Linked DNA regions of Anolis sagrei. The protein of the gene in region 1 interacts with the protein of each later gene in a pairwise test. Links are inferred from orthologs where the notes say so. Each region holds a gene or a part of one and is shown on either strand. Other genes may lie near its edges.

Region 1 (12,049 bases):
TACAGGGAAGCCAATGTTACACTTTTTTTGTGTGTCATGAGCAACTTGAGAAACTGCAAGTCGCTTCTGGTGCGAGAGAATTAGCCGTCTGCAAAGACGTTGCCCAGGGAATGCCCAGATGTTTTGATTTTTTTACCATCCTTGTAGGAGGCTTCTCTCTTGTCCCTTCATGGGGAGCTGGAGGTGTAAGAGGGAACTCAACCCGCTCTTTCCAGATTCAAACCACTGACCTGTCAGCACAAGAATTTAACCCACTGCCCTACTGGGAGCTCCTGGTGTTACACTTCATTGCTTTTAGAGTTCAACAGCTTTTCTAATGCCTAAAATTTTTCCCCCTCTCTGATGTTTTTTAGTGGTATTAACAAGTTTCCTTAAAATAATTTCATTCTGACATCTAGGAAAATTCTGTATACTTTGTATTATTTTGGTTCTTAAGCAAGAATGAAATGCATCTGAGCTGAAGAATTATATACCTATCTCCTTGATGACTACAAACTATTTACTTTAAGTCTAGTAGAAATATTGAATAAAGCTTTACAGGATTTGAAACATGAAGGGCAATGTGACCTTACTTTTTACCCAAAATATTTTTCATAGACAATATTAGCTGTATTTTGTATGCTTTGGAGTACTATGATAAATATAATGAAAACGAGAAGCATTAACTTTTTTTAGATGTAGAAAAAACAAGATAATGAGAACTGGTCATTCCTTTTTGCTCTTTTGGGGAAGATTAACTGAGTAGAATTTTATTTTATGGATTAACTGCTATTTGATGTTCAAATAGCCTAGATTTTGATTACTGGTGGCAGTCTTTTCTTACAGAACTTTAATGAAAGTGAACCAAGTCTAGGTTTAGATCAGAATGGAAGACTGTTTAGAAAGCTTTGTAAACTGTCATGAATTCAATGATGGGAAAAATATGGGAGAAAAAACCAAGAGCATTAATGTGTAAGGGTAGCACTTTTTAAACCTCAAAACAGACATTGCTGACATCTACAGGCAGTCCCCACGTTATAAACAGGATACGTTCTGAGGGTTTGTTCTTAAGTTGAATTTGTTTGTTAAGTATATTTTAAAGTGTAATTCCAGAAAAAATATACATTTTAGTTTTGGATAGCACAGGGATGGGTTAATACTCCTGTGTTTTGGGGTGGTTTTTTTTTTGTTTTGTTTTGTCTGAGCCCTTGTTCAGAAGATTTCACCTCACTTTCAGTCCTTGTGATAATTGGATTTTCAAAAAATTGGCATGTTGTGAAAACAAAGATTGGTAAGAAGTCTTTAAGGAGATAATGTTCCATCCGAGGGCTATATTTCTCTCATTTCCTGTTGCCTCACCCCTGTTCTTAACTATGAGTCATTTGTAAGTCAGATGTTTGTAACTTGGGGACTGCCTGTACTACAATATTTTTCTTTTAGTAAGCCACCCAAGACCAATCAGAGTTCCACCAAGAAAGGATTCATTGTCCGTTCCACTAGGTAAGACACGATGGAGAGCAGGTGCAGGAATTTCCATACTAGACATCTGCTGTGCTTTACCTGTACAGATGTATCAGCCAAAGCTTTTGATAACCTAAAAGGTCCTATGGGAATATGGAACAACGGATGATGAGATTGGATCTTGATTCTACCTATGAGATGCTAATGAGATGTTATATTGATGTTTAATTTATTATTTATTATGTCATTGTTTAATTGTTTTTTAACTGTTTTTATGATGTTGAGCATTGAATTTTGCTATTGTTAACTGCTTTGAGTCACCCAAGGGCTGAGAAAAGTGGTATATAAATGAAGTAAATTAATAAATAAATATGGAAATACAAGTGAATGAAAGGAAATATTTCCATTATGGGTTTGGCCCAAATAAATCTGTTCACCTTTATGTTTACCTCAAAACTGCAAAAGATGCTCAAGATATAATCCACATAATAGACTGGTTCACTGAGGTCAATTGATTCCTTCACCTATTTCTAAGTTGAGCCTAATTAAAGAGGAAGAATAGTCTAACTAGCTATTACAAATAAAGAACACTATCCAAAAGGTATTCCCTTTTTAAAAAGGTGAAATACAGAAACTATTATAAACTGAAAGGAAAAAAGTTACTTAGCATGAACCTAACTGGAGAATTCAGTCTGATATCACTCTAATTGTCATGACTCAATGCTATGGAATAATTGGATTTATACTTTTGCAGGGTCTTTCGCCTCTTTTGCCAAATAGTGATGGTGCCTCAACAAACTGCAAATCCCCAAATACCATTGCATTCAGCTATGGCAGTTAGTGGTGTAAAAGTGCATTAATTCTATAAAATAGCCACACCTCCATAGGATCTTTAAATTGGCCTATCAGGCCCATATGCATTTCACAGTGGAAACTGTTCACTACAGAGCATCCATAAGGCTCTCAACAAGTACAGGCTGAGAATCCCATATCTCAAATACAGGCAGCATAGGTGAGGCAGCATAACTTCCTTTTTTTAAATGCACAATATTCAGTCGGTTAAAGATGTAGCTAGTGGTCTCGTTCCAGAGGTGGGAGTACAAAGTTTTGTCCTGACACACTTCAGTCGCCATCATGCGTTGGAACAGTGAGGAGAGTGCTTTTGCCATTGAGGCCTACTTTTCGAGTGGATTTGGAGTGGCTGGCCCGCTCTCCAGATTTGACCCCTTGTGATTTTTTTCTATGGGGTTTTTTTGAAATCCCATGTTTATGTGAACCGTCCAAGGACCCTATAAGATTTGAAGACCAACATCCAGGAAGAAAGTGCCAACATAACGCCTGCTATGCTGGCAAGAGTCACGACAAACGCCAGAAATCGGCTTAATCAGTGTATGGAGAATGGGGGACGTCACCTACCTAATTTGATCTTCAAAACTACGTAAAACAAAACTTTAGGTATGCGCCTACATTATAAAAAATCTGATACATACAATGGGTTTTATTAAGTTTTGAAAAAGGAAGTTATGCTGCCTCACCCTGTATTTGGGGATTCTTGGACATGGGACCCATGTCCAAGCATGAAATTCACTTGTCTTCCATGTACGCTTTATTTACAGGATATAGATGACAAGCTGGAACATGACCAAAATGGTCTGGAAGTCCTAATAAAGAGCAGCTTAGGGAGCTGGGTATGATTAGCTTGGAGAAAAGAACGATGAGAGGGGACATGAAAGCTATATTGAAATATGTGAAAGGATATCAAATAAATGATGGAACCAGCTTCTTTTCTGCTGCTCCAGAAACAAAGACATTGAACAATGGATTCAAAGTGCTGGAAAAGAGATTCCACCTTTTGAATAATGTCTCCTATTATTTCGTCCATTTTAATTAATATTTTTAAAGTTTATACTTTAAAAAAGGAGAATGTTAGTGATGTGTGAATAAAACAATATTAGGAAAAATTCCTGATGGTAAGAGCTGTTCAGCAGTGAAGTATCATGCTTTCTACCTTGGAGCCTAGTGGAGCCCCCTTCTCTGAAAGTAGGCCTTTATTGGCCTGCAGGAACCCTTCCTAAATCTTAAATAAATCTTAAGTAAATATTACTTACAATAAAATACAAAATACAGATGGTGATACATGGATTTGATATACATGTATTTCTCATGATTTCTACAGTCGTGCTTGAGCTGGTGTTTCTGCATGGAAGAACAGAGTTGGAACTGAATGACTCTTGGGAGTTTCTTCTATGGCACCTTCCACACAACTGTATAAAATCCACACTGAACTGGATTACATAGCAGTGTGGAAAGTCCCCTTATATGACTCTATGAGCAGAATACAACTGGAACTGAATGGCCCCTGGAGTCTCTTCTATGGACCCTTCCACATAGATGTATAGCATTCACACTGAATTGGATTATATGGCAGTGTGGAAGGGCCCTTATATAAATCTATGAGCAGAATACAGTTGGAACTGAATGGCCCTTGGAGTCCCTTTTATGGCCCCTTCCACACAGCTGGATTACATAGCATTGTGGATTTAGACAGCCCCTATATCTCAGGATCCGATCTCAGGTTTCTGCTGTAAACTGGATTGTATGAGTCCACACTGCCAGATAATCTGGGATAAACAGAAAATCTGAGATGAGATCCCAGGTTATCTGAGGGCCCACTTAAAGGACCCTCAGATAACCCGGTTCAAAGCAGATATTGTGGATTATCTGCTTTCATGTTCTGGGTTATATAGCTGTGTGGAAACGTCCTTATATGAGCCTATGAACAGAAGAGAGTTGGCCCTTGGAGTCTCTTTGGGTCCTTCCACACAGTTATATAACCCAGAATATCAGGGCAGGAAACCCCACAAATATCTGCTTTGAACTGGGTTATCTCAGTCAACACTGCCATACATTCAAGTTCAAAACACACAGTCCTATATCCCAGAATATCAAGGAAGATATTGGGTTATCTGAGCCCACACTCAGGTAATGTGGGTTTTTCTGCCTTGATATTCTGGGATATAGGGCTGTGTGGAAGGGCCTTTCGATATTTCCATAGATAACCTGAAGATAATTTATAATAATTTTATGCAGGAGACAAAAGTGTATTTATACTGGATCACCAGAATAATAATAATCAACTTTATTTTTAACTCGCCTTCGCTCCCCGAAGGGACTGAGGGCAGCAAAAAGGGCAAACATTCAGTTATGTTAATACACTAAGACCAACAATTAAAAACCCTCAAATTATCCACAATAGTACAACACAAGAAAGCCAAGGTGTCACTCAATGTGGGCAATTTCAAAGGCTTTTTGGATCAACCTGTCATAAATTACTGCGGACTGGTAGGCCACACCAAAAAGAAAAGAATAGGCCCCGCCTCGTCCGTTATTCCAGCGCAACCTTCAGGCCAAAAAGGGTGGGAAGAGAAAATAAGCATCGTCCAGGAGACACAAAGGCCTCTTCCACACAGCTGAATCAAATCCCACATTTTCTGCTTTGAGCTGGATTATTTGGCAGTGTGGATATTCTGAGCCCTATACCTCAGAATATCAAGGCAGAAAATCCCACATTATCTGTGTATGGACTCAGATAACCCAGGGCCCTTCCACACAGCCCTATAACCCTGAATATCAAGGCAGAAAATCCCACAATATCTGCTTTGAACTGGGATATCTGACTCCACACTCAGATAATGTGGGATTTTCTGCCTTAATATTCTAGAATATATAGGGCTGTGGGGAAGTGGCCCTCTGGCAACCCAGTTCAAAGCAGATATTGTAGGGTTTTTTTCTGCCTTGGTGTATATGGAAAGGCCCAAAGCAAGCGCCAAAGGCCCGGAGCGAGAGATAGATAACACAAGACGCAGCTTATGCAGCAGCAACGACAGCAGCGGAAAGGCCCCTCAAATCCTGCTGCGAGGCCAGAGGGAGAAAAAGAAACAGCGCGCGAGCATGCATGCGCACACTCCAAAGGCGCAGCGCGCGCGCGCGTCCTCGTCTCGTCCCCAGGATTCTATCCACCGCGCGCGCCCGCCCGCGCGCCAGCCCCCCTTCTCCTTTTCCTCCCAGTGGGCGGGGCCGCAGAGGAGGAGGAGGAGGGGGGGGGAGAAAGAGAGAGTTTTGGAACGCCAAGGCGCGGCCCGGAACACAAGGGGAGAACAGAGAAAGGAGACAGGGCCCCGATCCCGCCCTCTCTCTTCGTAGCCGTCAATCACCGACGCGTGCACGCGCACTGAGGCCTCTTCCCCTCCCCTAACCCCCTCCTATATTTTTCTTTTCCCCCCACCGAGGCCCCGTTTCCCTCCTCCTCGCTCTCTCCCTTCCTCCCTCCGACATCCCGCCGTAAGAGGCCGCGGCCTGGCCCCAGCTCCGCCTCACCCCCGGCCCTCGCGCCGCCGTCGCCTTCGCCACCTCAGGCCCCGCGTCTGGTTCTCCCCTCACAGCTCCCTGGGCGCCATCTTACATTCAACCCGCCGCGGCCAATCAGCGGCCGCGCACGGGCTCGCGACAGCTCCGCCTCCAAGCCGCGCGAGAGCTCGAGCCCCGGCCCCGCCCCTCGCCTTAAAGTGGACGGGCGCCTTCGGAGGGAGGGACGGAGGGGAGCAGAAAGAGGAGGAGAGGGACAAAATGGTGCATAGGTTATTCTATGTTCCCTGCAAGGAAATTATGGATTATATCCATTTATTTCCTTCGCTTTATTATATTATTATATTTACCCGCCCCCACAAACCTGTGCCACCATAGAGAGCCTCAATGTTCAGATTAAGAAGACACCAATCTTTAGGGTTTGTGATTCCCAAACTTTGGGGTGCATCTGCATTGTGGAATTAATGCAGTTTAATAATAATAATAGCAACAATAATAATGACAAGTTTACACCCCCCCCCAAAAAAAAAAACCTGTGCCACCATAGAGAGCCCCAATGTTCAGATTAAGAAGACACCAATCTTTACGGTTTGTGGTTCCTAAACTTTGGGGTGCATCTGCATTGTGGAATTAATGCAGTTTAATAATTATAATTATGACAAGGAAAGCCAAGAACCTGCTTTAATCAAAGTCAAAAATCGAAAACTTCTCAAAGCACAGCAAACAAAGAATCAGTACAAGAAAACTGCACTCCAAACCAGAGCTGACAGCTGGCACAACAAAGCATTGCATGGGCAGTTCCTTGACAAGATTGAAGGAAAAGTTGACAGGGAGAAGACCTGGTTATGGCTCATGAATGAGACCTCATGGGCCATCCAGTCCAACCCCCTGCCAAGAAGCAGGAATATTGCATTCAAATCACCCCTGACAGATGACCATCCAGCCTCTGCTTAAAAGCTTCCAAAGAAGGATTCTCCACCACACTCCGGGGCAAAGAGTTCAGATTAAGAAGACACCAATCCTTTGGGTTTGTGATTCCCAAACTTTGAGGTGCATCTGCATTGTGGAATTAATGCAGTTTAATAATAATAATGATGACAAGGAAAGCCAAGTACCTGCTTTAATCGAAGTCACTAATTGAAAACTTCTCAAAGTACAGCAGACCAAGAACCAGTACAAGAAAACTGCACTCCAAACCAGAGCTGACAGCTGGCACAACAAAGCATTGCATGGGCAGTTCCTTGACAAAATTGAAGGAAAAGTTGACAGGGAGAAGACCTGGTTATGGCTCATGAATGAGACCTCATGGGCCATCCAGTCAGCCTCTGTTTAAAAGCTTCCAAAGAAGGATTCTCCACCATACTCCGGGGCAGAGAGTTCAAATTAAGAAGACACCAATCCTTAGGGTTTGTGGTTCCAAAACTTTGAGGTGCATCTGCATTGTGGAATTAATGCAGTTTAATAATAATAATTATGACAAGGAAAGCCAAGTACCTGCTTTAATCGATGTCAATAATCGAAAACTTCTCAAAGCACAGCAGACCAAGAACCAGTACAAGAAAACTGCACTCCAAACCAGAGCTGACAGCTGGCACAACAAAGCATTGCATGGGCAGTTCCTTGACAAAATTGAAGGGAAAAGTCACTAATCGAAAACTTCTCAAAGCACAGCAGACAAAGGACCAGTACAAGAAAACTGCACTTCAAACCAGAACTGACAGCTGGCACAACAAAGCATTGCATGGGCAGTTCCTTGACAAAATTGAAGGGAAAAGTCACTAATCGAAAACTTCTCAAAGCACAGCAGACAAAGGACCAGTACAAGAAAACTGCACTTCAAACCAGAACTGACAGCTGGCACAACAAAGCATTGCATGGGCAGTTCCTTGACAAGATTGAAGGAAAAGTTGACAAGGAGAAGACCTGGTTATGGCTCACGAATGGAACACTTTTATTTATTTATTTGTCGTGTCAGAGCAACCATTCCGTTATATTACATTTCTAATAGAACAAAGCAAACAAACAGACAAATACAAAACTTGTGAGTTTGGTAGTTGGTTAAATGTCCTTTGACCAGTATCTGGCCACTTGGAGTGCTTCCGGTGTTGCTGCAAGAAGGTCCTCCATTGTGCATGTAGCAGGGCTCAGGTTGCATTGCAGCAGGTGGTCAGTGGTTTGCTCCTCTCCACACTCGCATGTCAAGGATTCCACTTTGTAGCCCCATTTCTGAAGGTTGGCTCTGCATCTCGTGGTGCCAGAGCGCAGTCTGTTCAGTGCCTTCCAAGTCACCCAGTTTTCTGTGCGCCCAGGGGGGAGTCTCTCATTTGGTATCAGCCATTGGTTGAGGTGCTGGGTTTGAGCCTGCCACTTTTGGACTCTCGCTTGCTGAGGTATTCCAGCGAGTGTCTCTGTAGATCTTAGAAAACTATTTCTAGATTTAAGTCATTGACGTGCTGGCTGATACCCAAACAGGGGATGAGCTGGAGATGTCTCTGCCTTGGTCCTTTCACTATTGGCTGCTACTTCCCGGTGGGGGACATGAGAGAAGCCTCCTCACAGGATTGCAAGACATCCGGGCGTCCCCTGGGCAACGTCTTCGTAGACGGCTGATTCTCTCGCCACAGAAGTGACCAGCATGCAAGCAAGCAAGCAAATAATAATGATGATGACAAGGAAAGCCAAGTACCTGCTTTAATCGAAGTCACTAATCGAAAACTTCTCAAAGCACAGCAGACAAAGAACCAGTACAAGAAAACTGCACTCCAAACTAGAGCTGACAGCTGGCACAACAAAGCATTGCATGGGCAGTTACTTGAAGGAAAAGTTGACAGGGAGAAGACCTGGTTATGGCTCACGAATGGAACCCTGAAGAAGGAAACAGAAGGCCTGATTCTTGCAGGAGCAAGCCATCAGAACAAATGCAATAAAGACCAGGATCGAAAAATCAGCTGATGACTGTGTAAGGAAGCTGATGAAACCATTGATCATATCTTCACCTGCTGCAAGAAAATCGCACAGATGAACTATAAACAGAGGCACAACTCTGTGGCGCAAATGATTCACTGGAACTTGTGCCACAAGTATGACCTGCCAGTAGTAAAGAACTGGTGGGATCATAAACCTGCAAAGGTAGTGGAAAATGAACACGCAAAAAATACTGTGGGACTTTCGAATCCAGACTGACAAAGTTTTGGAACACAATAAGGCAGATATCACAATTGTGGAAAAGAAAAAAAATCTGGATTATTGATGTCGCCATACCGGGTGACAGTCGCATTGAGGAACAATAACAGAAAAAACTCAGCCGCTCTCAAGACCTCAAAATGGAACTGCAAAGGCTCTGGCATAAACCAGTGCAGGTGGTCCCAGTGGTCATCGGCACACTGGGTGCCGTGCCAAAAGATCTCAGCTGGCATTTGGAAACAATAAACATTGACAAAATCGTGATCTGTCAACTGCAAAAGGCCACCTTATTTGGATCTGCACGCATCATTCGAAAATCCATCACACAGACCTAGACCCTTGGGAAGTGTTTGCTGTTGCCTAATAACGCAACACAGACCATTATACTACACTTGCATTCCAGGTGAAAGATATATTTCCAAAAATTAGATCTCTTTGGGCTTGAGCCTAAACACTCCACTACATGTTTAATGTTGGAACTATATATAAAGATTGCATGCTTTCACTCTTCCCAATCCCTTTTGGGAGTATTCCAGCATATCTCCACTGTAAACTCTTATTCAAGATTCCCCCAAATTCTGGATCCCCCCAAATTAAGGTTAAGACATGGGAGATATGGCAATAGCTATCCAGATGGTGCTGGACCCAGCTTCCAATAGTATGCCCAGTGGTCAGGGATGAGAGGAATTATGCTCCAAAAGCACCTGGAACAGGCATGGGCAAACTTCAGCCCTCTGGGGTGGACTTCAACTCCCATAAAGCCTAAGAGCTGGTAGGCAGTTAGGAATTGTGGGAGTTCAAGTCCAAAACACCTGGAGGGCCAAAGTTTGCCAATACCCAATCTGGAATGTGATACATTCCCCACCTGTAAGATAGGCGATGTTTTGTCTACTTACCAGTCTACATATGGAATGTTCCTCATTAGGCTAGGAAGTGTTATTTCATCTTTTGTTGTTGTTAATTCGTTCAGTTGCTTCCGACTATTCGTGACCTCATGGACCAGCCCATGCCAGAGCTCCCTGTCACCAACCTCAACTCCTTCAAGATCAAGCTAGTCACTTCTATTTCATCTAAGATATTGTATGTTATTACTTTACTTCAAGACAAAGTAAGCTATACTGTGATCCCACTGGAGTTTGGTTCCAGGATGCACCATAGATACAGAATTCCATGAATGTTCAAGTCCCATGACTTACAATAGCATAATAAAATGGTATTCCTTGTATAAAATGGCAAAATTGGGTTTTAAATGTTTTCCCCAAGCCATGAATGGTTGAATCCATTGATAAAAGATCCATAGATATGGAGAGTTGACTCCACCCTTCAGGGTTACACAGCATATTATGAAGGAATAATCTTTTAGGATACTGTACTATACAATATAGTAATACATTCCACTAGAGCAGTTTTTCCCCGGGGGGGGGGGTCGCAAGGGGGGTGTCAGAGGGGTCACCAAAGACCATTAGAAAACACTGGGGTTTTTTCTGTTGGTCTGGGGATTCTGTGTAGGAAGTTTGGCCCAATTCTATCATTGGTGGGGTTCAGAATAATCTTTGATTGTAGGAAAACTATAAATCCCACCAACTACAACTCACAAATGTCAAGTTCTATTTTCCCCAAACTCCACCAGTGTTCACATTTTGGCATATTGAGTTTTCATGCCAAGTTTGGTCCAGATCCATCATTGTTTGAGTCCACAGTGTTCTCTGGATGTAGGTGAACTACAACTCCAAAATTCAAGGTCAATGTTCACCAAACCTTTCCAGTATTTTCTGTTGGCCATGGGAGTTCTATAGGAGCCCCCGGTGGCGCAGTGGGTTAAACCCCTGTGCTGGCAGGACTGAAGACCAACAGGTTGCAGGTTCGAATCCAGGGAGAGGCGGATGAGCTCCCTCGTATCAGCTTCAGCTCCTCATGCGGGGACATGAGAGAAGCCTCCCACAAGGATGATAAAAAAAATCAATTCATCCGGGCGTCCCCTGGGCAACGTCCTTGCAGATGGCCAATTCTCTCACACCAGAAGTGACTTGCAATTTATCAAGTCGCTTCTGACACGACAAAAAAAAAAGGGGGGGGGGTTTCTGTGTGCCAAATTTGGTTCAATTCCATCATTGGTGGAGTTCAAAATGCTCTTTGATTATAAGTTAACTATAAATCCCAACAACTACAACTCCCAAATGACAAAATCAATACTTCCCCCCCCCCCCCCCCCAACCTCACCAGTATTCAAATGTGTGCATGTTGGGTATTTGCCAAATTTGGTCCAGTGAATGAAAATACATCCTGCAAATCAAATATTTACATTACAATTCAAAACAGTAGCAAAATTCCAGTTATGAATTTTTATGGTTGGGGGTCACCACAACATAAGGAACTGTATTAAGGGGTCATGGCATTAGGAAGGTTGAGAAACACTGCATTAGAGTAAACTGAAATACTGATACCCACTTGCTGACTCTATTAAAAGCAGGGTTATATCAGTGTTACGATTTGCAATGTAACTGTTCTGTTCTGGACAATTTCTAGTTAATATGAAGGAAAAAGGAAGACTTATAGGTCTCTGCCCCCACTCCAGCCTATGCAAAATATCCAGTCATCAGCTAACATTAATTTTTATGCTTTGTAATGAGTGGAAAATCCTGCCTCATTCTAGATGTCATTCGACTGGAAATGCCATCATTTTTTATCAGTGTATCCAATGGCGAGAAAAGCTAGATACTGTAATCCAACAGTCTTTGGAAGAATGCATGATTCTCACTCAGGGTTTATAATAGTGATCAAAGCTTTTGAGAGCAGCAAGAAAACATTTCACAAAACATCAACAAAAGGAAACTGCCAGTGTTGCCATAGTTGTAGAACAGTCAAACGTTGCAGAAATATATTTTTCAGTTATCATATAATCATAAAAGTGGGAGGAGACCCCAGATGCCAGCCAGTCCAACCCTCTGCCATGCAGGAAAAGGACAATCAGAGTACCCCTGGCAGAAGACGATCTGGCCTCTGTTCAAAGGAAAGAGCCTCCACCACACTCCAAGGCAGTGAGTTTGACTGTTGAACAACT
Region 2 (12,049 bases), about 130 Mb from region 1:
TTGCCTGGATTTTAGGCAGAATTTTAAGTGGTTTTCATTTGTTTTAGATTCACCCAGAATTGATGGGTGTGAGCATGAAGATAATATATTTTATTTTAATGATTGCTTAGAAAAAAGAAGATATAAGTCCATAGAAAAAGCTGGAGAGATACACAGGGGACGTGTGTGTATCTATATAAATAAAAATGTAATGTTCGTTTGTGGGATTAACAGAACTCAAAATCCACTGGACTAATTGACACCAAATTTGGACACAAGACACCTAATAATACAATGTATGTCCTTCACTCAAAAAATTGATTTTGTCATTTGGGAATTGTAGTTGTTGGGATTTATAGTTCACCTACAATCAAAGAGCATTCTGTACCCCATCAACGATGGAATTGAACCAAACTTGGCACACAGTTCTCCCATGACCAACAGAAAATACTGGAAGGGTTTGTTGGGCAGTGTCCTTTGGTTTTGGAGTTGTAGTTCACCTACATTCAGAGATCACTGTGGACTCAAACAATGATGGATCTGGACCAAACTCTACATGAATACTCAATATGCCCAAATGTGAACACTGGTGAAGTTTGGGGAAAATGGAATCTTAACATTTGGGAGTTGCAGTTGCTGGGATTTATAGTTCACCTACAATAACAGAATTCTGAACCCCACCAACGATAGAATTGGGCCAAACCTCCCACACAGAACCCCCATGTGGGCCACAGCAACACGTGGCAGGGGATGGCTAGTCTTTATATATGTCCTATATTTATAGCTCTGACTCTGAAAGGGGTTTTTGGGGAGGGAACAGTGCAGCGCCATGCTCTCTTGCTTCTTGTTGTGTGACTTCAAGTCCAATGTATGGCAGCCATAAGGTGAACCTACCCTGGGTTTTCTTGCAGGGTTTGTTCAGAAAGTTTGACTTTTCCAGAAAGGGTTTCCATGATCAAGTGGGGAATCAAACCCTAGTCTCCAGAGTCATAATCTAACTCTCAAACCACTATACTATGTTGACTCCTGCTTGTTTCTTACAAGTTTCTTACAAGCATTTTTACAGAATGAAATATATGAGAAGATATTCTATGATAAAGATGACTGGGCATGAAGCTTAACTTTGCTGGGCCAAAATAACTTTTGGATTTGGTTACTACACACCTTGAATTGCATAGAGTATAGGGAGGACAGACAGACTGAGGGCCCTTCCAGACAGGCCAAATATCCCAGGATCTGATTGTGGTTTTCTGTTTATCCCAAGTTATCTGACAGTGTGGACTCATATAATACAGGTTAAAGCAGAAAACCTGGGTTCAGATCCTGGGATATTAGGGCTGACTGGAAGGGCCCCGAGGCTGTAACATGGCTGTAGCTTATCCTGGAATTAAAACTTGACTAAGGATAGAACAACAGAAAGGATATGATGGGTGCACATTGGCTTTTGCCCCAGTGAGGACTGCAAGATCCTCATCCTTCTTGCACTATGCAGTTATTGCATTATTATCACACTTTAATTGCTATGACTGTATCCTGTGAATGTTGGGATGTGTAGTTTGGTGTGATACTAGAGCTGAAAATGTTAGGCAATTCTACATTGCAAATCCCAGGAGTCCATTGAATAGAACCATGGCTCTTAAAGTGGAACTATAGAGCTATACTTGTGTGGTGTTAAAAGGCCCACTTTCTGCAGCAGTGGTCAAGATTCCTCAGCAACTGCACAAAACCACAGAGGAGTTCAGTGAGCTCTTTTGCATGCTTACTCAAGTCACAGCTGTGCCCAGAAACTGAATGGAACTTACTCCGTAGTAGTCAGTGTGGATTTTGGCCGGCATGAAACACATGTGTGCTCTTAATGAGTGTGCAGGGATTGGCTTGGGAAGTGAATACATTTCATGGTGAGTGCCGGGAAAAGGCAGGCCTGAGTCAATGGATGTGTCCACTAAGCCAAGAATTTTAATTTAAAAACTGGAATATCTGAATCCAGCTCTGCCTTTGAACCAGCCCCATATGTCTGTTCGTGTGTTTGAGTTGGGGAACTGGATCCAGAGAGAGAAAAGCTTTTTCTGACCGAGCAGAACAACGGAGACTCCATAGCTTCCTCTTGCCTGTTTTCATGGACCCCCACCTTACTCCAACCCATTTAATACTGAGGGGAGGCTTCACAGCGAGGAACCTAAAATTACACACAAGCAAAACATGACACATTATTTTTCATTTGCTCCATTTAACGCGTGGCAGGAATTAATGGGTTGAAATGACGCAGAGTTCACAAATGCTGCTGCCATAGTCCGAATGAACTGCAGAAAGTGTGCAGGGGGAAAAAAGCATTTCAAAATAGATGTAGCTTTGAAAAACAACCCTCTCCCCCAACAGAAGTCAAACTTCTATTTCTCTTATTTTAAAAGGAGGTGCTATGGGAATATTTAAACCTCAGGGAGAGTTAGCTGAGCAGCTGCAGGGCAGAAATGTTGCAGGCTGGCTTGGAGGAAGAGAAGGGACATGTTTCATTGGGTTGTTGTAGGTTTTTTCGGGCTATATGGCCATGTTCTAGAGGCATTCTCTCCTGACGTTTTGCCTGCATCTATGACAAGCATCCTCAGAGGTTGTGAGGTCTGTTGGAACTAGGAAAATGGGTTTATATATCTGTGGAATGACCAGGGTGAGACAAAAGACTCTTGTCTGTTGGAGCTAGGTGTGAATGTTTCAACTGAACGCCTTGATTAGCATTTGATGGCCTGGCAGTTGCCTCCTTGTGGACCTAGAGGGGACATCCAGTCGCTGGATCGGATGGATAGTCATCTTGGTCCAACAATCATGATAACATCAAGGAGAGCCTGCATTAACAAGGGACCTTTGGACAGTTCTTGAAGGTGACAACTCCCAGAATCCCCCAGACAACATGGCATTTACTGTGCTAAAAAATATTTCCAAGCTCTGGTTAGAAAGAGATTTTCAAATCACCTTCAACATCTCTCCACCACTACTACTGTTGCCATTTTTGCTGCAGTAGTTTAGTCAGATTGCTTCAGACCCAGGAGCACAGCCTTCTACTGAGTCAAGCTCATATAAATATCTAAAATATACCCTCCAACATTTCAACTGGATACGTGCAGACAAGTAAAATCAGATTGTTGTCAAGATGACAAAAAGTTATTAATGTGGAATAACAAACAAAGAGGCTGCAGCATTTTGCTTTGGCCTGAGCTGACTGGGACGGGGAAGATGTCGCCCCTCTTTTTCTCTCTCCCTGCTGAGTTAATGGAGTGCAAACTATTTTTGCCTTTTGAACTCAATTTGTAGCTATTATGAAGTATGCTGAGGACAAAGTGGGAAAGTGGGAGGATAGAGAGAAACCGATATTTTTAAAGCAGCCGAAAGAAATGGGGCAACAGAGTATTAATCAGGATTATCCTTGCCAAATTTGGATAGTTGGAGAGTGTCAGAAGTGTAACCCCCCAATTCCACTTGCTTCCTCGCCATTTTTGGGGAAAGTCAGAAGCCACAGTCTGACCAGCTGCCCAAGAGGAGGTGCTCTAACCTCGAAATTGGGTGTTTTGGGAAAAGTGAGACTGTTTTTCAGTCAGATTTGGAAAGAGCAGCAATTGGAGCATGGTATACTCACGCTTCACTCTGCTGTCCTTTTATTTTATGGGACTCTTTAAAAAGAAGCAAACACCCACATTTCTTGTGTGTTAATTTTATGTGACTGTAAGCTCCTTTAGGGTTTGCACCAGGCAGGGAAGTAAAATATTATAAAATATTGTAAAATAAATAAATAATGTATGAAAAATAAAGGAAGGGGAAGCGAACTGGAATAGCCAGCAATAGAAGAGCCATCACCTCATAGTCCTGTATATCACCAATCTCTTTCCTGGGTTTGAATCTCTACTTTAATCTAGCTGGTTGCTTTGAGAGGGTGTGTTATATTATATGATATTATATTCACCATTCGGGGGTACTTTGAATGCAATTTTCCTGCTTCTTGGCAGGGGGTTGGACTGGATGGCCCATGAGGTCTCTTCCAACTCTATGATTCTGTGATCTCTTTTTGTATAACTTAGTATAATATTCATTAATACATATGTCAAATTTACTATCCATTTAGGTTTTGTTCCCAGTCCTCGAGGCTTTGAGTGGTTCCCAGTAAAATTTGATATGCACAGTAACAACTAGAAATACAACTAAATTGTATATATTTCTTGTTTTCTTCTTCAATGGGTGTGCCATTGATTGTTTTTAGTTTTGTTGAAAGTTATTTTAATTTTACATGATTATCCTTTCAGCTGCAACCTTTGTAGACCTTCTTAAGTCCTAGGAGGAAAGGGTAGCATGTATGTGTGTATATACACTAATAAGATTATTATTATTATTATTATTATTATTATTATTATTATTAGGGTAGCATGTACGTTTGTATATACACTAATAAGATTATTATTATGATTATTATTATTATTATTAATTATTATTATTATTATAGCAGTCTTTGTTCAATGTCTTACCCATCTCCTCCTATCAGCTTCCCTGGCAACACCAGAGGCACTCCAAGTGGCCAGATACTGGTCAAAGGACAGTTAATCAACTACCAAGTTTGCAAACTGTTTTTTTATCTGTTTGTTTGTTTTGTTCTGTTAGAAATGTAATACAATGGTCTGGTTGCCCCTGACACGATAAATAAAATAAGCTTCTCTAACTTTAGCATCTCTTGATCAGAGCCCCTTTTCCTGAGATCCCTGTTTGAATAAAATGTAGCAGGCTTTCCAGTTGCAAGCATGTCAAGTTCCAGATTCCAAGGCCTTTCTACCATTTTGTTTCTCAAGCTTCTACACACCATATCAAGGTTTCCTATTTAGATGACGTAATACATGTATCCTTGCTCCCCACTGTTCCCCCGGTGGCACAGTGGGTTAAACCCCTGTGCCGGCAGGACTGAAGACCAGTAGGTCGCAGGTTCGAATCCAGGGAGAGGCGGATGAGCTCACTCTATCAGCTCCAGCTCCTCATGCGGGGACATGAGAGAAGCCTCCCACAAGGATGATAAAACATCACATCATCTGGGCATCCCCTGGGCAACATCCTTGCAGACGGCCAATTCTCTCACACAAGAAGCGATTTGCAGTTTCTCAGGTCGCTCCTGACACGACAAAAAAAAAAAAAAAAGGCCTTCCTTGATACCCAATATCCCACCATGTGTACTATACCAAACTTGCTATCCTGACCATAGGGTGCATTAGGACTATAATCCCCATCAAAGGGGATTCCTTAGTCTTTCCAATAGGCAACTGGTTGTTGCCTTGTTCAACCCCATCCCTTCTCATGGTCACTGCATTCATATCTACAGCATTATGGCTCCTGGTCTGAGGCCTGTCATGTGGACAGGAGAAAGACAATTGCTGTACTCAAAAAGCAAATAGCTTCTTAAGAGAGATGCTTGTGAGGTCCACTTGGTACAAACAGTGCCAGTAAAGTATTATTTCCTCTGATAGGAAGTTGCATGACATTTTGCATCACTGGCTTCTTCCAGAATTCTAGCTCTTCTTAGAGTAACTTCTGATGTGATTTTAAGTTTAGTTTGATCCTTGATTTTTGCCATCCATCTGAATTAGGGTTTTTTTTTTAAAAAAAGATAATATTCTGATTTTCTGCAAACAATTGATTTTATATGTTTACATCCTAATTAATTAACACAGGGGAATTGTAAACAGAGGCATCATTTCCCTTTTAGGAGAGACAGAAATTCTGCTTCTAGTTTGTTTGGAATTAAGTCTAACAAAAGCTTGGATTAGGACGCAAGGAAAGGTGAGGGTGGGTTTCATAATGCAGGAGTGAAAATTCTGTATGAAACATTAGTTTCAATTTACTTAGTTCCCCATATAACTATTGAGTGTGTGTTTGCCTATGCATTTTCAGTACTGACTTTCAGGAGGAGTCTCTTGCCCTGTTTATTTATTTTTTGTGTGCTTGCTGTGCATAAAACACCTCCAAGGAATTTTCAGAGACTAGGACATTTAACACAGTGGAAAAACCTCCTCTGTGCACCCCCCCCCCCCCCCCTCTTGCCAGCACTTGGCAATATTTTAGCAACCAGCAGTTTGGAGAATACCAGCGACTTTTTGCGTAGCAGCTTCTGGGTAGAAACAGCTTCCAGCAAATCCAGTCTTTGTTTTTGAACCATAACAGTGTGGTGGTGGAGTCAGCTTGGGAAAGAGGACTTCTTTTGGCTCTGGTAAGAGAAGCTAGTAGATTTTTGCATTTCTTTCTTTAAAAAAATAAGCCAAAGTTATACATGTTGGGGGATGATTCGTGGCAGGGAGAAACATTATCTTTGATTTACAGGAGGGGGAAATGCCATTACTTTAGATGAGGCTTACCTGACTAATGTTATTTTGTGAAAGTGAATAAAATTCCAGGTTTTAGACTTTTTGATCTGTCAAATCTAATTTGAAATATCAATATCAATATAGTGATTTATGAGTGAGACCTATTTCTAAAATATTTCAATGTTAAATTAATATATGTTTGCTAATGTCTACCATTTTCTGATAAAAGGTGAACATGACAACCTGTAATTATTTTTCCCCTTTACTTTTTTCACATGTCAAATGGTAGAAATGAGATGTCTTCTCCTGAAATGAATTTTTTCCATTATGAATGTTCAGGTTTTATATAGTATTTTCCACTGGTAAGACCTCAGCTTTAACATAGCACTGTTTCAATTCCATATCCTTCTTATATAGATTTATTCTCAGTTGCTTAATATCTCTGTTTGAGGGGGGAATTGTCAAAAAGTTTTATAGTTGCAGAAAAAAAGAAATCCCGTATAAAGAAAATGTAAAGCATCTAAAATGAGAGAGAAATGACAAAGAAGCGAAGGGCACCATCCACCAGGACTCTGCCTTGTGCCAGGATTGTAGAGACGAAGGGGAGGTTGGCAAAGGCTGACTGAGCCCTTGCACAGATCGCATTCATTTCAGGGCTGGCACAATGTTTCGCTTCCCAGTGAATTTTGTGGTAAGATTTTTATTACCTTTAAAAATACACAGTGTGACTTTAAAAATAAGTTATTTAATCGTTTTAGAAAGGAAGGGAAGCAAACAGTCTTAAAAAAAGAAGAAATCTGAAAACTCACCAACAGTTGTTGGTTGAAATATTGCAAGGCTCTAATAAAAGGCAATCTTTTAGCTGAGTTCCATTGTAATGGCTTGGAGGATTTCTGGAGGGGAAAAAAAATCAAGAGGACGGAAAAAGCTTGTATTAAATTTCAGTAGCTGTGCTCTTGATGGGGCAAGTACAGCAAAGAAGAAAATGCCTGAAGAAATTTCCTTGCTATACTTTATGTAATCTCAGGATTATCTGAGATGGGCAATTATTGTGCAGACTGAAAGGCAAAGGCAGAGCTCTTGATCTGGGTAATTTTGTGAAAAGATCTAAATAAATCTAGACAGGGACCTAAGTACTGCTGCCCATGAGTTTTCGGTTGAGTCTAAAAGTACATGGTTAGCATAATCTGACCGTCGTATAATTGAAATTGAATTGTTTGGCATTTTTTCCCCTCTCACTCCTTTTGGAGACCAGAAATATTCACTGCAAGCTATCCAGAAATGTTCAACTCCTGACTGTAAATGCAAAATTGAAAAACAAACATATGCTTGCTCTTTTTCAATATTTCTGGATTCATTAAATAGGAACTTGCGGCCTCGAAGTGAGAGTGGGGAAGAGAGCGGTGGTTTCAACAAAACCTGATCTTTTCAGCAAACCAGATCATGGTCAAATATTGTTCCAAAAGTATCGGGGCATGCAGGCCTCACAGAATATGAAGCCAATTGCTGCACATTATTTGCAGCTCATAATAATAACTAGCCCCATTCCTTGTTCGCAAGGTCCATAGCCTCACGCCGTGGCAGGAACTGTGGCTTCCTTCTCTGCCGCAAGTCAAAGGCAGGTGAATGGCAGAAGACATCAGCTCAGAGAGTGCAGAAGGGAGAGGAGCTGGAACCGCAGGATTTTTAGCTAAAAGGAACTAGAGGCTGGGATTCCAGATTATGTGCCCAAATTTTAAAAGGTACTACTGATAAATGCTCAAGTTTTCTGATCACCGTGACTGATCAGGAATTTACTAAATACAGCATTCCAGATTTTCAGGCAGCTAGCAGACATTTGAACAAAGGTGCTTCAGAAGCCAGCATGCTAACCAATTATCATTTAATTATAAACCTATAGTATAATTATACTACTTCCTAAACCATCTGAGGCCTTATTAAGAAAAATGAAATTAAAATAAATAGTTTACAAAATAAATACCTACAAAATGCCTTCATACAAAATCAGTGATTTGATAAAATATCAGTGTTAAGAAGGAAAAATATGTTGGGTGAAAAGCCTATCCCAAATTCTTTTCTTTTATGTCTTTCTGATGTTTTAAAGAGAGATTTATTTAAGTGCTAATGTCTTTCCCTTTAGAAACAGTAATATTTTAAAGCACTAAACCGATTGGGTCATTTCTGAATCTTAAAAGTTACATGACAAAAGCTGGAATCTTAATACCTGTCTATGGTCCTCTGGAAGAAAAACTATACTTTGTAGCTTGAACATTTTTTAAAACGTTCTGATTAAGTTCATTTCGGATGGATAGCATTGCAGATGGTGTATCAGGAAAACAAAACCTTACTTATCTTGTTCTTTCTGAAAGAAGGGAGAGGTTCCAGGATCACTTGTGGAATACTTCATTCTATACAGTTGTGGGCTGCGTTGAAATGGTGGCCCTCTTCAACAAAAAACCTCACATCAGTGTAGCCCTGAACAGCCTCGAAATATTCAATAAGGAAATCACATTTTTTTGTGTGGCAGAAATGGGCCATCTAGGAACTCATTTAAAGGTCTGTTTCCTTAATTCAAAGAAATATATACTCTGGCCTTCATTTTCAGCAATCTGTACATCAAACTTGTGCATAATTTGCATTTCAGCTTGATATTTGAAGCTGGCAATTTCCGTGGTCTCCTTTATGTCCAGCAAAGAAATAGCATCATGGCAAGTAAGAAATGAAATGGAGGCAGCCAGGCAGAGAGATGAAGTGTGATAAGGGGAAGATTGGTCTTGAAGGAGATGGGAGATCCACCTGGGTTTCTGTGGGCAAGGACAGAATATCCATAAACTCAGGGACTTGAAACAGGTCCTTTAAAAAATAAGTGAACTCAGGTTTGTGAATCCAAATGTGTGCAACTAGACCTTTCAACTGACCATGAAACAACAAACTGGTTCAAGATTGGGAAAGGCGTATACTCTCACCCAACCTATTCAACTTGTATGCAGAACACATCATGCAATGTGCGGGGCTTTACTAATGCAATGCTGGGGTGAAAATTGCTGGAAGAAACATTAACAACCTTAGATATGCAAATGACACTACTTTGATGGCCAAAAGCGAGGAGGAGCTGAGGAGCCTTCTAATCAAGGTGAAAGAAGAAAGTGCAAAAGCTGGGTCGCAGCTAAACATAAAAAACCCAAGATTATGGCAACAAGAATGATTGGCAACTGGGAAATAAAGGGAGAAAATGTGGATGCCGTGACAGACCTTGTATTTCTAGGTGCAAAGATTACTGCAGACACAGACTGCAGCCAGGAAATCAGGAGACACTTACTTCTTGGAAGGAGAGCAATGTCCAATCTCGATAAAATAGTGAAGAGTAGAGACATCACACTGGCAACAAAGATCCACAAAGTCAAGGCAATGGTATTCCCCATAGTCACGTACGGATGTGAGAACTGGACCTTAGGGAAGGCTGAGCGAAGGAAGATAGATGCTTTTGAACTGTGGTGCTGGAGAAAAGTGCTGAGAGTGCCTTGCACCGCAAGAAGATCCCAGTAGTCCATACTTCAGGAAATAAAGCCCGATTGCTCATTGGAGGGAAAGATAGTAGAGGCAAAGCTGAAGTACTTCGGCCACATCATGAGAAAAAAGGAAAGCTTAGAGAAGACAATGATGCTGGGGAAAATGGAAGAAAAAAGGAAGAGGGCCCGATCAAGGGAAAGATGGATGGATGGCATTCTTGAAGTGACTGGATTGACCTTGAAGGAGCTGGGGATGGTGACAGGGAAGTTCCGACAGGGAACTCTGGCGTGGGATGCTCCATGAGGTCCCGAAGAGTCAGAAGCGACTGAACGAATGAACAACAGACCTTTCAAAACTGTGTGCATGGAATCGCATGAGACTAAAGATCTGGTATGTTCATGCCCATTCCAGGGTGGATTAGACCCAAATGTAGAGAGATGGAGAAGGGAGTTACAGTGGCATCATCTTCAAAAGTCTGAATTACTTTTTCATTCCCACCAGCTGAGTTCAGTAAATCAAGAAATGGGTTGCCGAATCCCTCACAACAGGTGCATTTCTTTTTGGAACATCACTGATCTGAGAGCCATAGATTGAATGTTACTTTGAGTGCATCTACATAGTAGATTTAATGTAGTTCGACAACACTTTTACTGCCGTAACTGTGGGAATTGTAATTTTACAAGTTTTCTCTGCCAAAGCTAGCAAGGAAAGCTAGCGTTCACACCAGGGTATGGAATTGTGCCATCTTGCAGATGTCGTTGAACTGCAGTTCCCATCAGTCATAGCCCAGCTAACAGTGAGAAATTCTGGGAGTTGCAGTTTGACAGCAATTGAAGAGATACATCATTGTTACCTTTTGTGACTCATATTATAAATAGGGCCTAAAGACAAAAGACCTAAAAAATTCCAGATAAAAATAAATTTCAAGTGCCTCACCAAACTACCATCTCCCAGGATTCCATACCATTGAGCCATGACAATTAAAGTAGTGTCAAACTGCATTAATTCTACAGTATAGATGCATCCCTCATCAGCATTACTAGGATTGCAAGTCAGGCTGGCCTTGTCAGGATCTCTGTGCAACAAACCAGGCTGTGAGTGAGACTCACATTTCATTATTTACTGAATATGGATCTAGTTTAAGTCCCAGATTTCTTCAGATTCAGAATTAAAGAACATAAGATTTAAGAAGGTATGCATTTCGGAGAAATTAAAACTACAGGATAGATTCATCCAGAGGTCTGGATGCTTCACTAAGAGACTCTGCATATTTAATTACAAGCAGACACATCCAGTGTTGAAAAAGGTTGAAGCTCATGCGCTTGGCTGGCACAAATGGATGAGGATATAATGTTAGCGAATTTGTTGACTAATTTACCAACATTTGCAAATTTCTTTATATTTCCCAGTGGAAAGAATTTGAGGTTTAAGAACTTCAAGGACAGGAGAAAACAAGATAGACAATTTTTCAATCTCTATCAACAAGACCTCCCTTATGTGACAAAGTACTCCCTGTATGCCTTTTAGACACAACTACCAATATCCCTATGACAACATTCATTTCCCTTTGAGTAGTCTCAAAACATTTCACTTCCTCAAACACCCAGGCAGGTAACACTGAAAAAATGTCTTTTAACGTAATGTATAAAGTATACAAAGCTTGCGTGTTGAGCCTACAACTCATCCTATTTTGGCCCCATACTGCATGTTTTATTTCTATTTCAACACAAACTGATTGTGTAAAGGAGTGCTGATTGGCTAATCTTTGTGACAATTATAAATCCCATCATCACAATTAGCAGTGTTTCGTGTTTTTAGAGGACTTTTCAAATGTACTGTCTGATTGATAAAAAAAATCAATAGACACTTTTTTAAAATGATCAAGAACATTGTATGACTTTTATTAAAAAGAAAGAAAATGTGAGTTCACTTGAGGGACTTGGAGATTGAGTATAATACTATCGAAGGTAGAAATGGAGCGCTTATCTTTAGGTAAGATGACGGGATGACAACATTACATTTAAAATGTCTTTAGATGGGAAAGCAGGAAGACAATTTTAACCTTTTTTCTTTATTTTTTATTTTTAAAGGCAGAATTTTAGAGGGTCAAAATATATAAGCAATACTGATATATATAACATATTAAGATGGTTTACAACACACTATGTTATATGATATTTGTCCTTTATAAAACGGTACAATAATATTCCAGCCACCTGGAGACTTAGGTATGTGTT

Evidence for each region.
Region 2: the proteins of QRICH1 (region 1) and NFIX interact in binary tests that used the Homo sapiens proteins (3 or more experiments, as listed by UniProt). The two-hybrid records come from large-scale screens. The link is inferred for Anolis sagrei from reciprocal best matches to the Homo sapiens genes QRICH1 and NFIX.

Annotation. Positions count from the first base shown.
Region 1 is NC_090022.1:28,346,744-28,358,792, reverse strand, and holds the start of QRICH1 (transcriptional regulator QRICH1), read right to left. Parts: upstream 5,934-12,049; 5' UTR 5,818-5,933; intron 1-5,817. UniProt on the Homo sapiens protein: Transcriptional regulator that acts as a mediator of the integrated stress response (ISR) through transcriptional control of protein homeostasis under conditions of ER stress.
Region 2 is NC_090022.1:162,839,362-162,851,410, forward strand, and holds the start of NFIX (nuclear factor 1 X-type), read left to right. Parts: upstream 1-6,100; 5' UTR 6,101-6,208; intron 6,209-12,049.